3 linked regions of the Mus musculus genome follow. The protein of the gene in region 1 interacts with the protein of each later gene in a pairwise test. Links are inferred from orthologs where the notes say so. Each region holds a gene or a part of one and is shown on either strand. Other genes may lie near its edges.

Region 1 (4,403 bases):
TAGCTGCCCATACATATATGTATGTATGTATGTATGTATATATATATATATATATATATATATATATATATATATATACACACACACACACACACACACATACATACATACATACATACATACATACATACATACATACATACCGGTGCAGACCAGCCCTGCATCCTCGGTGTGGTCACAGTTGCTCCGGCCCCAGGGGCTTCGGGGACAGTCTCGGAGGGCCTCCTCTCCTCCTCCACACCCCACGTCATCCATCCACACAGGTCCCTCACCAGGTCCAAATCTGGCACCCCCAGGGGCGGCCAGCGCTCCCCCACATCCCAGCTCCCTGCAGGCCACCGCTGCATCTCGGAGGTCCCATCCATCATCACAGACAGTGCCCCAACGTCCACCGTGCCAGACTTCCAGGCGGCCGGCACATCCGTGGGGACCTGAGACCAGTCGCAGCCGCTCTGGGGAGGGGTGGGGGGAGAGGAATACAACCAGGGAAGATGAGAGACTGTAAAAGGCTTAGTCTAATGTCAGCTTGGAGGGGGCAGCTTCCTGTTTGTTTACAACTGGGGAAACTGAGGCCCAGGAAGAGCAGAAGACTGAGATTTGTCTGCCAAGTACCTAATTCAGAAAAGAGACCGGCCACCCCCCTGGGTCTCATAGAGGGAGGATAAAGAAGAGGAGGTGGCCAGCCCTGACTGGATCTGAAGGGGCACTGTGAACGCCGGTCTCCTTAGAGAGTCACAGGCTGAATGGAGGTCTAGGGTCCTCAGTTTGGCAGGGTCTAGGGTCTCGTAGCACACAGATCAGGAAGACAGGGAAATGTAGAGCCTTACCTTGGTGGGGAGCTCCATTTGTCAGTACAGGGGCTCGGGTGGACTTGGTCTGCTTGGGTGGCCGGGGGTTCTTCTTCCGGGGGCCATTCTGGGAGCTTGCTGCTGGTTGGGGAGCTAGGAAAGTGACACGTGACCAGGAAGTCAGGAGCTCAGCTGGTCACTCTTCCCTACTCCTTGGCATCTGTCTCGGGATTCTTTTCTGAGGGTTTGAAAGATTTCTGGACAGAGGATTTCTGGATAATGAAGGAGACTAGCTTGCCGGAGAAAAACGTTTGCAGGATAACCTTCCCCCATAGCTGAGTCTGACCAGGGTGCGGGATGGGAGGCCTGTCCTTTGTGCTCACCGTGAGTTATAGGGGGCTCCTCTGAGCTGGGGCTTAGCTCCCCAGACAGTGCCAGCCATGGATCCCCATCCAGCAGGGACATTGAATCTTCTCTAGAGTTAGCTGCACGCTGACCTATGGGAGAGGACCAAAGTTATGAGACCAGTGATGGGGGGAGGAGTAGAAAGGTCATTTGACCCCTGGGACAGGAGGAGCTGGGATGCCTGAATTTCCTGTGGCTCAGAAATAAGTGCTCATAAGCTGGGAGTCCTTGGGAGGGGAGCACCTGGTCTTATGGGGATCTGGAGTTGGTTACCGCTTAGCTTCTAGACAACTCAGATCTGCAGGAACTAAGGGCAGGGTTCCTGGGGCCATAACCATAAGAGGAATTTGAATCTTTTTACCTACACAGACGACGCCTGCGTCCTCCTCATGAGAGCAGATATGGGCCTTCCAGCCCCGGTGGGGACAGATACCCAGCTGACCCTCATTGCCCCGACAGTTCAGTTCACTGAGCCATACAGGCCCAGTGCCCTCCCCGAAGAAGGCACCCCCAGGGGCTGCCAGCGCCCCTCCGCAGCCTAACACACGGCAGGCCACTTCAGCATCCCGAAGGTCCCATCCGTCATCACACACGGTGCCCCAGCGCCCGCTGTGCCAGACCTCCAGGCGTCCTGCGCAGCCATGAGGACCATCAGCCAGGCGGAGTCGCTCTGAGGGATGAAGGAAAAGCTGTGACCCCACACAGGAGTACTGTTGGCTGGGGGTCTACGGTAACACCAAGGCAGGGGGACTACCTTACAAGCTACCACCAGGAAGCCAGCTACCCTGGAGGCTGGACCCTGGTCCCAGACTCCCAGGTGCAATGAGAGGAATGTCTCAGAGATGCTGGGGGCTGTGTGGAAGGACACTGTGAACCAGGGAATTCAGGCATCCCCGGTCCTTCTGCCCCACAAGGGGGTCAAATAACCTTTCCACTCCTCTCCCCATCACTGGCCTCATAACTTTGGTCCTCTCCCATAGGTCAGCGTGCAGCTAACTCTAGAGAAGACTCATTGTCCCTGTTGGATGGCAGCAATGTCTGGGGAGTGGAATTGGGGTAGCAGAGACCAGAAGGAGAGGGGGGGAGTTGGAGCGGGGTGAGGCCAAGTGTAGAATCAGGACACTTACCTATAGCCTGGATCCCCACCAGCATTGCTGCAAAGGAGGTTGGAGGGGACAGAGTGAAGGATAAATCAGAGGGGAGGGGTCCTTTCCCCAGTGCAGGCTCCCAGCCTCAGTACAGTGGGAAGCACCCATTCACAGTCAGATTCCTCACACCTCTGAGTCAGAAACCCCACTGCTGGAATGGACTTTGGGAGGAGGCTGGGATAAGTTACAGGTCCCTGGGGTGGGTGGGGCCCCAGATGCCTGACCCTTGAAAACAGGACTGGGGACCAGATTGAATGGTGGGAGTGATAGCGCTACAGAGTACATGACAGGGCAACAAAGGGCAGGTCACTTGAGCTGCTAGGCAGGACGTGCAGAAGGCTGGGTCCCTCAGGGATTAGAGGGGCCAGCCAGATGTCAGGATATCACACTGCACCAGGGACCAGAACAGGCTCCCTCAAGTATGAGCCCCTAAACTGGAGAAGCTAACTGGGTCAGAGGTAAGGGTCCAGGCCCCTAAGGTGCTTACCCCCCCCCCCAAGGAAATGGATCACTCACCAAGGAGGCAGGCCAAGCCCCTCATGTTCGCAGAGTCCAGGGGCAGGGGATGGGGTGAAAGGGGAAGGAGGGCAGGAGAGGGGAGGAGGAGGCAGCCAGGGAGGGAAGCAGCTGCTGAGGAGCCCTGGACAGCTAGGAGCAGGCTGGGCTGAAGGCTCTGCCAGGAGGGAGAGAGGCTGCAGGGATGCAGCAGGGGACAGGAGGGGGAGGGGGCTGGCCACAGCTGAGGCTGGAGGGGGGGGTGCGGGGGGCAGGCAGAAGGGAGGTGTTCAAGTGCAAACACCCACACTGGAGGGAGGCGGCCAGCCAGGCTCCAGAGGGCCACGTGCTCAGAGATGCTTATGGGGATGGCAGCTCTGGGAAGGGGCAGGCCTGGGTGTCTGGGGGACAGGGCTGAGGGCACACCCTTCTGCCTCCTCTTATTGTCCAGCCAGGCAAGTAAGTGCAGCTGGGAGTGGACAGATTTTGGGGAATCCTGCAGTAGCATGAGGGCCTGAAGCCAGATACTAGGAGGGACTTCCTAGATCAGGAAAAGAAACTGAAAAACTCCTGTCCATTTGTCACCCACTGTGGTAAATCTGGATGGGAAGCTCCCAGTGCCGATTCGAGAAAAGAGTGTCTGAACTTATTACCAGTTCCCAGAACAAAGGTATGGAGGGTAGAGAGACTGAGGGGTCAAGGCTTCGGTCTGGAGGGGGTACACACACACACACACACACACACACACACACACACACACCAGGCAGCTGTGAGGGGGAAAACTTTGGTAATGGGGAGCATGACTCAGAAGGCCTGGCAAAGACTGGCTGCCGCTGTGAGCTCACTGCTTCTCCTCTTCCCAGCGCCCCCCCCCCCCCCCCAACACACACACTTCCCTAGCAATTAATGTCAACTTCTTCGGAGAGGAGGAGCCAGACAGAAGGAGGGAGTCTGGAGAGAGCAGCTGGAAAATGCATCAGACAGGAGACAGGCACACAGAAGTTTCAGGGTTTATTAACAAACAGTGTAAAAAACCAGATGGGCTTGGAGACACTGTGCTCCTGGCCCCACCCACTCCCAGAAGATCTGTCCCCTTTGGGAGTTCCCTGTCACAGACTCTAACTTTTAGTCTCTCTCTCTCTCTCTCTCTCTCTCTCTCTCTCTCTCTCTCTCTCTCTCTCTCTCTCTCTCTCTCTTTCCTCAAATCTCCCTTCCAGACCTCAAACACAGGCAGCAGGGGCTTTGTAGACCCAGAACCCGACGTTTTTCAGTGCATACAGACTGGGGCAGTGGGGGTGAGGCAAAGGACTGGACACGGTGACCTCTAGTGGTCCCAGAAGACCAAGAAGGGATTTGTTCTACTTGAGTTTAGAGTCCTCATTGCAGCTGGCAGGCACACTGGGAATGTAAGTCCATCAACCTCGGTGCTTCACTATCAGCCCAGCAGACTAGGTAGACACTGAGGGGGGGATGTAAAGTGCCTGGCACACAGTAGGTGTTCTTTAGGTGCTGGTTCTCTGCCCATCTATCCAGTGGGCATGGTCTCTAATCACAGGTCTTTGCTGAA
Region 2 (4,403 bases), about 120 Mb from region 1:
AGAGCTACTACATAACAGAGAGATCCTGATAAGAAAGGAAGAAAGGAAGAAAGGAAGGAAGGAAGGAAGGAAGACAGACAGACAGACAGACAGGCTTGTTACAGAATGGTAGTTCTAAAACCTTTTGTGCTCTCACAAAAAATAAGTTTAAATCTAAGAAACAAAGAGTTTTCAAGATGGGGTTGGAGAGTTATCTCAGTCATTGCGAGCTTGTGCTGCTCTTACAGAGCATGGCTCTTAAAGATGGCCCTAATTTGTCTCCCAGCACTGGACTCAGGTGCTCACACCCACCTGTAACTCCAGCTCCAGGCACGGTCAAAGTCTCTGGCCTCTGAGAGCAACTACATTCATGTATATGGACACAAAGATAGACATACCCAAGTACACATTTTTTAAAATAGTAAAAATAAACTTTTAAGAAGCTTTTAAAATATAAAGCTGGGAGTGGTGGCTTATGCCTGTAGTCTCAGCACCTGGGGACTAAGACAAGAGGTCTGCCACAAGTTCTGGGTTACCCTGGGCTACAAAATGACACCATGTCTCAAAAAGTAATTAATAAATGAATAAACCTTAAAGACTGATATACTTATCTTAAAGCTGAAAACAGAAATGTTGAGCTGGAGAGATGGCTCAATGGTTAAGACCACTGGCTGCTCTTCCAGAGGACCTGGATTCAATTCCCAGCACCCACATGGCGGCTCACAACTGTCTGTAACTTCCAGTTCCAGGGGGTCCCACACCCCCACATAGACACACAGGCAGAAAAACAGTAATGAACAGAAAATTAACAAGAAAATGAAGAAGAGAATAGAAATGTCAAGCACCGACAATAACACACAAATTAAATATCATACATCAAGGAAAACGAGCGTGCATCAAACACCACTCTGGAGGCCGAGAACAATCTGAAAAACCCAAGGCACGACCTTACTGATTCCTGGACCCTTCCACAGTACTCTGGTCCAGCCACAATTCTTCACCAAAGAAAGCATCACTGAACCTTTCAGTCACACCGCTTCCATGAGGCAGGGGCACTCGTGGATCCATCCCCCCAGTCGCTCAGCAAACTCCCACTAGAAATTCTGTAGTCTGCATTCCAGGCATCGGGCCAGCCCCTGCTTTGACAAAGCTTACACCCTGGCCTGGTAGGGTAAGCGGGCATATGTACCTGTCAGACAGTTACGAGCACCGAGAAGAAACATGACAGAAAGGAGACACTGCAGATACACATGCTTTCAGTTGTCTTTCTTCCCTTCTGCGGGAAACTCCCCTTAGTCCTCCAAGGAGGAATTATTTGGTGGGGAAAGCTCAGCACCTAACAAGCACCTGTGTGCTAGGCACTAAAAAACAGGACCCTGAAAATGAAAAGAGGTAAGAAGTTCACAGTCCACATGGAGGGGCAGAGTACTTAGCTCACAAGTATTTACACAACAATACGTGTGGGACACTAGATATAGAACTCTACAAAAATGAGACAGGGTATAGTGACGAATGCCTTTAATCCCAGCACTCAGAGGCAGAGAGGCAGAGGCAGGTGGATCCTTTAAGTTTGAGGCCAGCCTGATCTACACAGTGAGTTCTAGGACAGTCAGTACTACACAGAGAGACCTTGCTCTCAAACCCAGGGATAGGAGCTGAAAACATGAAATCTAAGCAGACAGGTAAAATGTCATGACTGAGGCCACACAGCAAGTTAATGGCAGTGCCGGGTCTGAACACAGTCTGTGCTCCAAACCACCAGAGAGAGACAGACGAGAAAGAGAGACAGAGACAAACGAGAGAGAGAGAGAGAGAGAGAGAGAGAGAGAGAGAGAGAGAGAGAGAGAGAAATCAGCCTTCCCAGATATACACAGAGCTTAATCAAAAGTGTAACGGGGGGGCTTTTACTAGGAGAGAGTGTATAGTCCTCTACAAGAGAGGCATTGTCTCCTCTGGAGAAACTTACTGTCTCCTAGGTGATGTCCTACCCTATCACCGGTGTTTCCCAGTAAGAGAGCAGCTTTCGGATTCTAGCAAAGGGTAACTGTCTAATTTAGCTGCGTTTTCTGCCAGCACCAGCACACCAGTGGGTGTTCAACAAACAGTTGCGCAATGACAGGAGTTCCAAGCCTCATCACCGGAGCCCCTCCTCCAGGATCCTCCAGTCCCTGGCCCTCTGAAAGCTGGTCACTGCTGACCCTGGCAAGCGACTCAGAGCAGGCGACACTCCTGTCCCACCCGCCTCCCGGGACAGACACTGGCCCCCAAGCGCCCTCGGCTCACTACCTCCGGGTAAGAGCAGGGAAGCCGGGGAGGCGGCGGCCTGCGTGACGGGGATGAAGGGCACGTTGAAGCTGAACTCCGTGGCCGAGGAGGAGAAGAGTAAGTTAGTGCCTGACGAGGAGGCGGACGCTCCGCCGCCGTTAGCCTTCCTATCCGCCATGGCTGCAGACCCCCGGCCGTTACGTGGCTCTGCGAGCCCGGTGCTGCACACAGACCGGAAACCGGTTAGCGAGGATGCCACCGCACTTCCGCACTTGCGCACAGGTGCCACAGGCCAGCGACTCCGGGATCGGTTTTCTTCCGGAATTTGACGCCGCCCAAAATCAATAAGGTGGAATCGGCTTCAGACCCAAGCCTATCACGTGACAGCCTCGGTCTCGCGAGACTGGGTCAGCCTCTGGAATCACAGCATAGAATAGAGAGGTGTGGCCGATGAATCCTAGCGTTAATTGACGCTCGAAGTCGCAGATTCTGAGATGTCCTGGACGCCCTGAGTTTCTCATGGAGTATCTGTTTTTGGTTGGTTGGTTTATTTGCTTGCTTGCGAGGCAGGATCTCTCTATGCTGCCCAGACTGACTTTTTATCCTCCTGCCTCAGCTCTTCCATTTCTGAGATTAATACCACCACACACTGCAATTCTTATATCTTTATGACAGGCGGTCATAAGAATTGGAAGTAAGAATTATTATCGGCTGGGTTCCTTTTTTTTTTTCAGTTACGTTTTCATGATGTTGCCTGGAATTCTCAAGAGGTCTGTCTGCCTCTTCTTCCCAAGAGCTTAAAAGGAGTGTGCCACCACTCCAGGCTACTATCTCCTTGAATGTGTGCATCAACAAAAAGTGCCTTTGGTAAGGCAGTTCCAAGTGGTAGACGATTTATGTTTCAAAGGGGCAGAGAAAAGATGTATAATTGCAACATTCTAGAGTTACTGCTGTAATTTAGGGTTTGGGGACCTATCTGCCTACTACCAGGTTTTGGCTGGAATAAAAACATTAAATTCTGGCAGTGTTGAGTTTACCTCGACAAGCATTTCAACGGGGCCAAGAAGTACAGAGCTTAGTAATGGGGAAACTTCTGGTGAGTCATAGATAACATGGCCTCAAACTGCTAAAAGCCATGCTAGACTAGAAGTTGGTCAAGAAAATTCTCTTTATCATAAAGAAGCAAGGCTGAGAACCATATACCAGAGAGTGATATATGAAACAGACCTGAAATCCTTCCTTTTTGGGTTTACAATCTGGCAAAACAATCAACTAAACACAAAATAATATAAATGGCAGGCTTTCCTTAAGTGTGTTTCCTGGAACACTGACATCATCTGGGGACAGAGATCTAAACATTCTAGGAAGAGCGAGCATGTATCTCTCTCCATCAGATCATTAGCGAAAAACTTAAGGAAGAAAAAGCTTCCCTGAGGAAGAAAAACTAAAGTTGAAACTTGAGAACTAGGGCTTCAAACCTCTTTATGAGTGCAGGGATCCCAGAGGACCAGCCCTGCTGTGGTGTTGCACACCTTTAATTCCAGCACTTGGAAGGCAGAGGCAGGCGGATTTCTGAGATCAAGGCCAGCATGGTCTACAAAGTGAGTTCCAGGACAGCCAGGGTTATTCAGAGAAACCCTGTCTCGAATAAAAAGAGAGAGAGAGAGAGAAGAGAGAGAGAGAGAGAGAAAGGCCTAAATTCCAAAACCATCACTTTGCATAATTAACTTCAACATATGATTTTTTTTTATTTTAAACCATAACAGGAAGGGGAAAAAAAACTAAAATAACAATTAAGATGAGAAAAGGGACAGAAGAGGGCCCAGAATGAGATATACCTTTTAAGGGCATGCCCTGAGTGACTGAGTGACCACCACCTCCTCCTCCTCCTCCTCCTCCTCCTCCTCCTCCTCCTCCTCCTCCTCCTCCTCCTCCTCCTCCTCCTTCTTCTTCTTCTTCTTGTTTTTTGTCTGTTTTTTCAAGACAAGGTTTCTCTGTGTAGCCCTGGCTGTCCTGAAACTCAGAAATCTGCCTGCCTCTGCCTCCCAAGTGCTGAGATTAAAGGCGTGTGCCACCACTGCCCTGGCTGAGTGAACTTCTTCTAATCAGGTCCCTTCTTGACTGCACTCTTCCCAATTAAGGATCCATCGATAGGCACT
Region 3 (4,403 bases), on another chromosome or scaffold:
ACTCTTACCCCGACAGTTCTCACAATTAGTATATAGTTTACTGATGTTAGAGATAGAGCCATTCTTGGGCTAAAAGGGGAAGAAGTTGGGATGATTAAACCCACACATATTGCATCAAATGCCTATGTAATTGTGCCCTGCATTTTCAGTTGTTAATTGCTATGCTGGCAGGATATTTAATTACTGTCATTTCTATGGCCTATTACCTGCCTTTTTTTTAAAGATTGATTTATTTATTATATGTGAGTACACTGTAACTGTCACCAGAAGAGGGAGTCAGATCTTGTTAGGGATGGTTGTGAGCCACCATGTAGTTCCTGGGATTTGAACTCAGGATCTTCAGACGAGCAGTTGGTGCTCTTAACCACTGAGCCAGCTCCCAAGCCCGATATTACCTGCTTTCTATATGTAAGTGTTTGTCCTTCCTTGCCTGCCACAAAGGTGTTTCTCTGAGATTAGCCTGTTAAAAAGAAAGCTGCCTGGTGAAGGTCAAAAGCTGCCAAAGCCAAAAGACAACACAGAAATATGGACCGGGCGTTGTCCTGCTGCTGATTGGCTCAGACTAGGTGTTGTCCTGCTGCTGATTGGCTCAGACTAGGCGTTGTCCGTTGCTGATTGGCTCAGATTGGATGAGTAAGGCGTGTGGCCTTTGAGGACTAGAGTTGACTGTTGGAGTCGGGGCAGGAGGAGAGAGAGACAGAAGCAGAACTGAGCAGGACAGGGAGGTTGAGCAGAGAGAACGCCAGGGACTCGTAGCAGGGAAGTCGCGTTGAGTCTGGAGGGTTAGCTGAGGGACTGCCCCAGCAAACAGGCAAACAGCCTTATACTATACAGATGTCTCTGTGTCTCTGTTATTAAACCCACGTGGGATCCCACAAGTTCTGAAGTATCCATTGTAAGCCACTCTGTGTGGAATCCAGTCTCCAGACTTGAACCGTTAAGATATGATCTGCAAAAACAAATTTGTCTCCTCAGTCAGCGCTTTTATCCTAAATTAGGGTTTAGCTAACTGGAAAGATGGCTCAGCAGTTAAGAGCTCTTTCTTACTCTTCCAGGAAGCCTGAGTTAGGGTTAGGGTTCCCAGAACCCACATGACAGACAGCTCACTACTGTAATGTCAGCTCCAGAGGGATCAGATAACCTTCTGGTCTTCCAGGGCACCTGGCATGCAAGTGACGGCACAGACATACATACCCATGGGCGAAACATCTATCTATACACCATGTTAAAATCCACAAATAAATCATGAGCTGGTGAAATAGCTCAGCAGGTTAAGGCATTTGCCACAAAACCTGGCACCCGAATTCAATCCCTCTGGGTCCTACACATGGGAGGGAGAGAACTGTAAACCCTATATACCACTCCGTGCCAGCCTCCACCTCCTGCCTTCCGCCACCGCCCTGCTTTTTCTTGGGTGAGCTGGGTTTGGCAGAGCACACCTTTCTTTAATCCAGCCCACGGTAGGCAGAAGTCAGCCTGGTCTACATAACCTATTCCAGAGCAGCCAAAACGATCTAAAAAAAATTCAGGTATAATGTTGGTTTGCTTGATTTTTGGTTTGGAGACCAAGTCTGACTCTGTAGCCTAGGCTAGCCTGGAATTTACTATGTGATCCAAACTGGCTTCGAACTCGTGAATGGCCTCCTGCTTCAGTCTCCCAGCAAGGGGCTGTCTTTCAAAGGAGCGAGCAAACCAGCCTCTGGCTACGAGGAAAGACCCACGTATGCCTCAGGTGAGCGGCTCTTCCAGCCACATTCAAGATGGCGTCGACCCGCAGCCCGCTCGCGAGCTCCGGCAGGAACACACTTCCGCCTGCCACTCCCAACATGGCGCCCCCGAAAGCGTCCGGGGGCGGGGCCGAGGGAGGAAGTGGGCGTGACAGGGACGGAAGCCGAGCAGGGTTTGGAGCTAAAACAGCGGGGAGTGGGGACAGCGCTGTCCGCTGCTATGATTCCCCCGCAGGAGGCTTCCGCCCGGCGGCGGGAGATCGAGGACAAACTGAAGCAGGTGACGCTGGGGAGAAAGTGAAGGAAAGGCGCTCAGGGGCATCGAACCGGGGTGGAAGGGGAGATAGGGTTAGGCGTAGGCCGTGGTGCTGGGTGCTGGGTGCTGGTGGTCGCCTTTCACCATCGGCTTGTGGTGATGTCCTCCTCTCTGCCCCTCGCAGGAGGAGGAGACGCTGTCGTTTATCCGAGACAGCCTGGAGAAGAGCGACCAGCTCACTAGGAACATGGTGAGTAGCCTTTCAGCTGGGAGGCTGCCGCCAGGCTCCTGAGCCCCAGAGGAGGGGCGTGTGATGGACGTGTCCTGCGCCTGTCCAGGGACTCCAGCGTGGGTAGTAAACAGTGGGCATATCTTGCAGCGATGGGTATCTCTGCACCCCAGTTTCCACCCCATCACCGAGGAAACCGCTGCCCTATACCTGTTACTGTCTGTCCTTCTGCAAACATTTCGTGATATCCTGTACATGGCCTGGTACTGGCCCCGTGTCATTGTCAAATTCAAGCGAGGCGAGGCAGCGAAGTCACAGGGGCTTTGGAAGCAAAACCATCTCAGAGAGTTAATGCGTCTTAGATCTACCCAATGTCCTACAGCTTACTATGTGGTTCCTGGTGGTAGGCCTTGAGTTATGGTTAATTTACCTGGTAAAGCAGACAATGTCAGCCTCCCAGTGTGTCCGTGGAGGAAGTCTATGCATGCTTCCCAGTGTCTGGTATACAGTAAGATGCTTTAAAAGTGCTTGCATTTGTATTTACACAGTAATAAAATACTTGTTGAATGAGATTTGCCCTTAGGGAAAGAGGTTGGCTGTTTGTTTGAGGTAACAGTAATATATTTGCAACTATTTTGGAGGAAGCTACTTTCTGTTCAGTCTAGGAAAACTTCAGAGAGAACAGAAATTGAGATTTGACTTTCAAGGGTAGAAAGGAATCTATCCTGAGGTGATTGAAAAAAAAAATTTATTATGTATAGTGTTCTGGTTGTATGTATGGCCATATGCCAGAAGAGGGCACTAGATCTCATTATAGATGGTTGTGGTTGAGCCGCTATGTGGTGCTGGGAATTGAACTCAGGACTTCCGAAGAGCAGCCAGTGTTCTTAACTGCTGAGCTGGCTCTCCAGCCTGATTATCTCTTTTTGCAAATAAGCAAATTTATTTTATGTGCATGAGTGTTTGCATGTGTGTATGTGTCCCACAAATGAGCAGTGCCTGCAGAGGTCAGAAGAGGCTGTCATATCCTGTGGAATTGGAGTTACAGGCAGTCAGTTGTAAGCTGGCAGATGTGCGTGCTGAGAACTCAGTACCAGTCCTCTGCAAGAGCAGAGTCATCTCTCCAGCTCCTTGAAGGAAGAATTCGCTTAATGTTCCTCTTGCCGTCAGATGAACTTTCAACCAGTTTATGGTGAGCCGTGTACCAGACTAGGAGTGCAGTTGTAGCAAACAAGTCGACTATGTTCCTTCCTATGGGTAGCAGTGTATCGTCTAGAAAACCAAGAAAAGACAAGAAATGTCTGTGAGTATTTCCAGGACAGCCCTGGGAGCCATGAGCCAGAGGAGTTCCCCCCCACAGGTGTCCATCCTGTCGTCCTTTGAGAGCCGACTCATGAAGCTGGAGAACTCTATCATCCCTGTGCACAAGCAGACAGAGAACCTACAGAGGCTGCAGGAGAACGTGGAGAAGACGTTATCCTGCCTGGACCACGTTATCAGCTACTACCACGTAGCCAGCGACACGGAGAAGATCATCCGAGAGGGGTGAGTTCCATGCAGAGCTCTGCTCACATAACTAATGTCTCCTGGACCCATGGAGCCAAGTAAAACCCATGTGAGCGTGGAGCCCCTTATCTGCGTTCTCTTCTTCTCCCGCAGACCGTGGCCATAGTCTGTCTATGTTATCCCTGCCCTCCAAGGCTAAGCCAGCTTTTCTCTTTCCCAGCCCCACAGGTAGGCTGGAAGAGTACCTGGGAAGTATGGCCAAAATCCAGAAGGCTGTGGAGTATTTTCAGGACAATAGCCCAGACAGCCCAGAACTCAACAAAGTGGTAAGAAACGTATAGGTTAGCGTGAGACGACGGACAGATGGACATCAGTCCCTGTCTCGGTCTCATGAGGGACATGTGACAGTTTAAGGAAGTCTGTAGAAGCCAGGTGTGGTGGCCCAGGCCTAGAACTTGTGAGTTTGAAGCCAGCCTGGGATATGTGGTATTCCAGACTAGCCTGGGTTATGTAGTGACACCATGTCTCAAATGTTAAGCAAACGGATAAAAGAGGAAGATACATAGCAGTCACAATGTACGTGTTAGGTCCTGTGCCTGGGGACTGAGTGATATAATTTTCCATCATACTATTTCAAGTGTAAGTTTAGCATTTGATTTCTATATATGGATTGGAGGTTTCTTCA

What was found.
Region 2: the proteins of Ssc5d (region 1) and Sec23ip interact in binary tests that used the Homo sapiens proteins (3 or more experiments, as listed by UniProt). The two-hybrid records come from large-scale screens. The link is inferred for Mus musculus from reciprocal best matches to the Homo sapiens genes SSC5D and SEC23IP.
Region 3: the proteins of Ssc5d (region 1) and Exoc7 interact in binary tests that used the Homo sapiens proteins (3 or more experiments, as listed by UniProt). The two-hybrid records come from large-scale screens. The link is inferred for Mus musculus from reciprocal best matches to the Homo sapiens genes SSC5D and EXOC7.

The regions. Positions count from the first base shown.
Region 1 is NC_000073.6:4,924,434-4,928,836, reverse strand, and holds the start of Ssc5d (soluble scavenger receptor cysteine-rich domain-containing protein SSC5D precursor), read right to left. Parts: upstream 2,883-4,403; coding exon 2,858-2,882; intron 2,348-2,857; coding exon 2,321-2,347; intron 1,864-2,320; coding exon 1,555-1,863; intron 1,286-1,554; coding exon 1,172-1,285; intron 942-1,171; coding exon 828-941; intron 453-827; coding exon 144-452; intron 1-143. Other genes in the region: Nat14 (N-acetyltransferase 14), read right to left, coding at 4,386-4,403.
Region 2 is NC_000073.6:128,743,041-128,747,443, reverse strand, and holds the start of Sec23ip (SEC23-interacting protein), read right to left. Parts: upstream 2,575-4,403; 5' UTR 2,423-2,574; coding exon 2,266-2,422; intron 1-2,265. UniProt on the Homo sapiens protein: Plays a role in the organization of endoplasmic reticulum exit sites. Specifically binds to phosphatidylinositol 3-phosphate (PI(3)P), phosphatidylinositol 4-phosphate (PI(4)P) and phosphatidylinositol 5-phosphate (PI(5)P).
Region 3 is NC_000077.6:116,304,218-116,308,620, reverse strand, and holds the start of Exoc7 (exocyst complex component 7), read left to right. Parts: upstream 1-1,886; 5' UTR 1,887-1,947; coding exon 1,948-2,007; intron 2,008-2,167; coding exon 2,168-2,233; intron 2,234-3,572; coding exon 3,573-3,757; intron 3,758-3,938; coding exon 3,939-4,044; intron 4,045-4,403. UniProt on the Homo sapiens protein: Component of the exocyst complex involved in the docking of exocytic vesicles with fusion sites on the plasma membrane.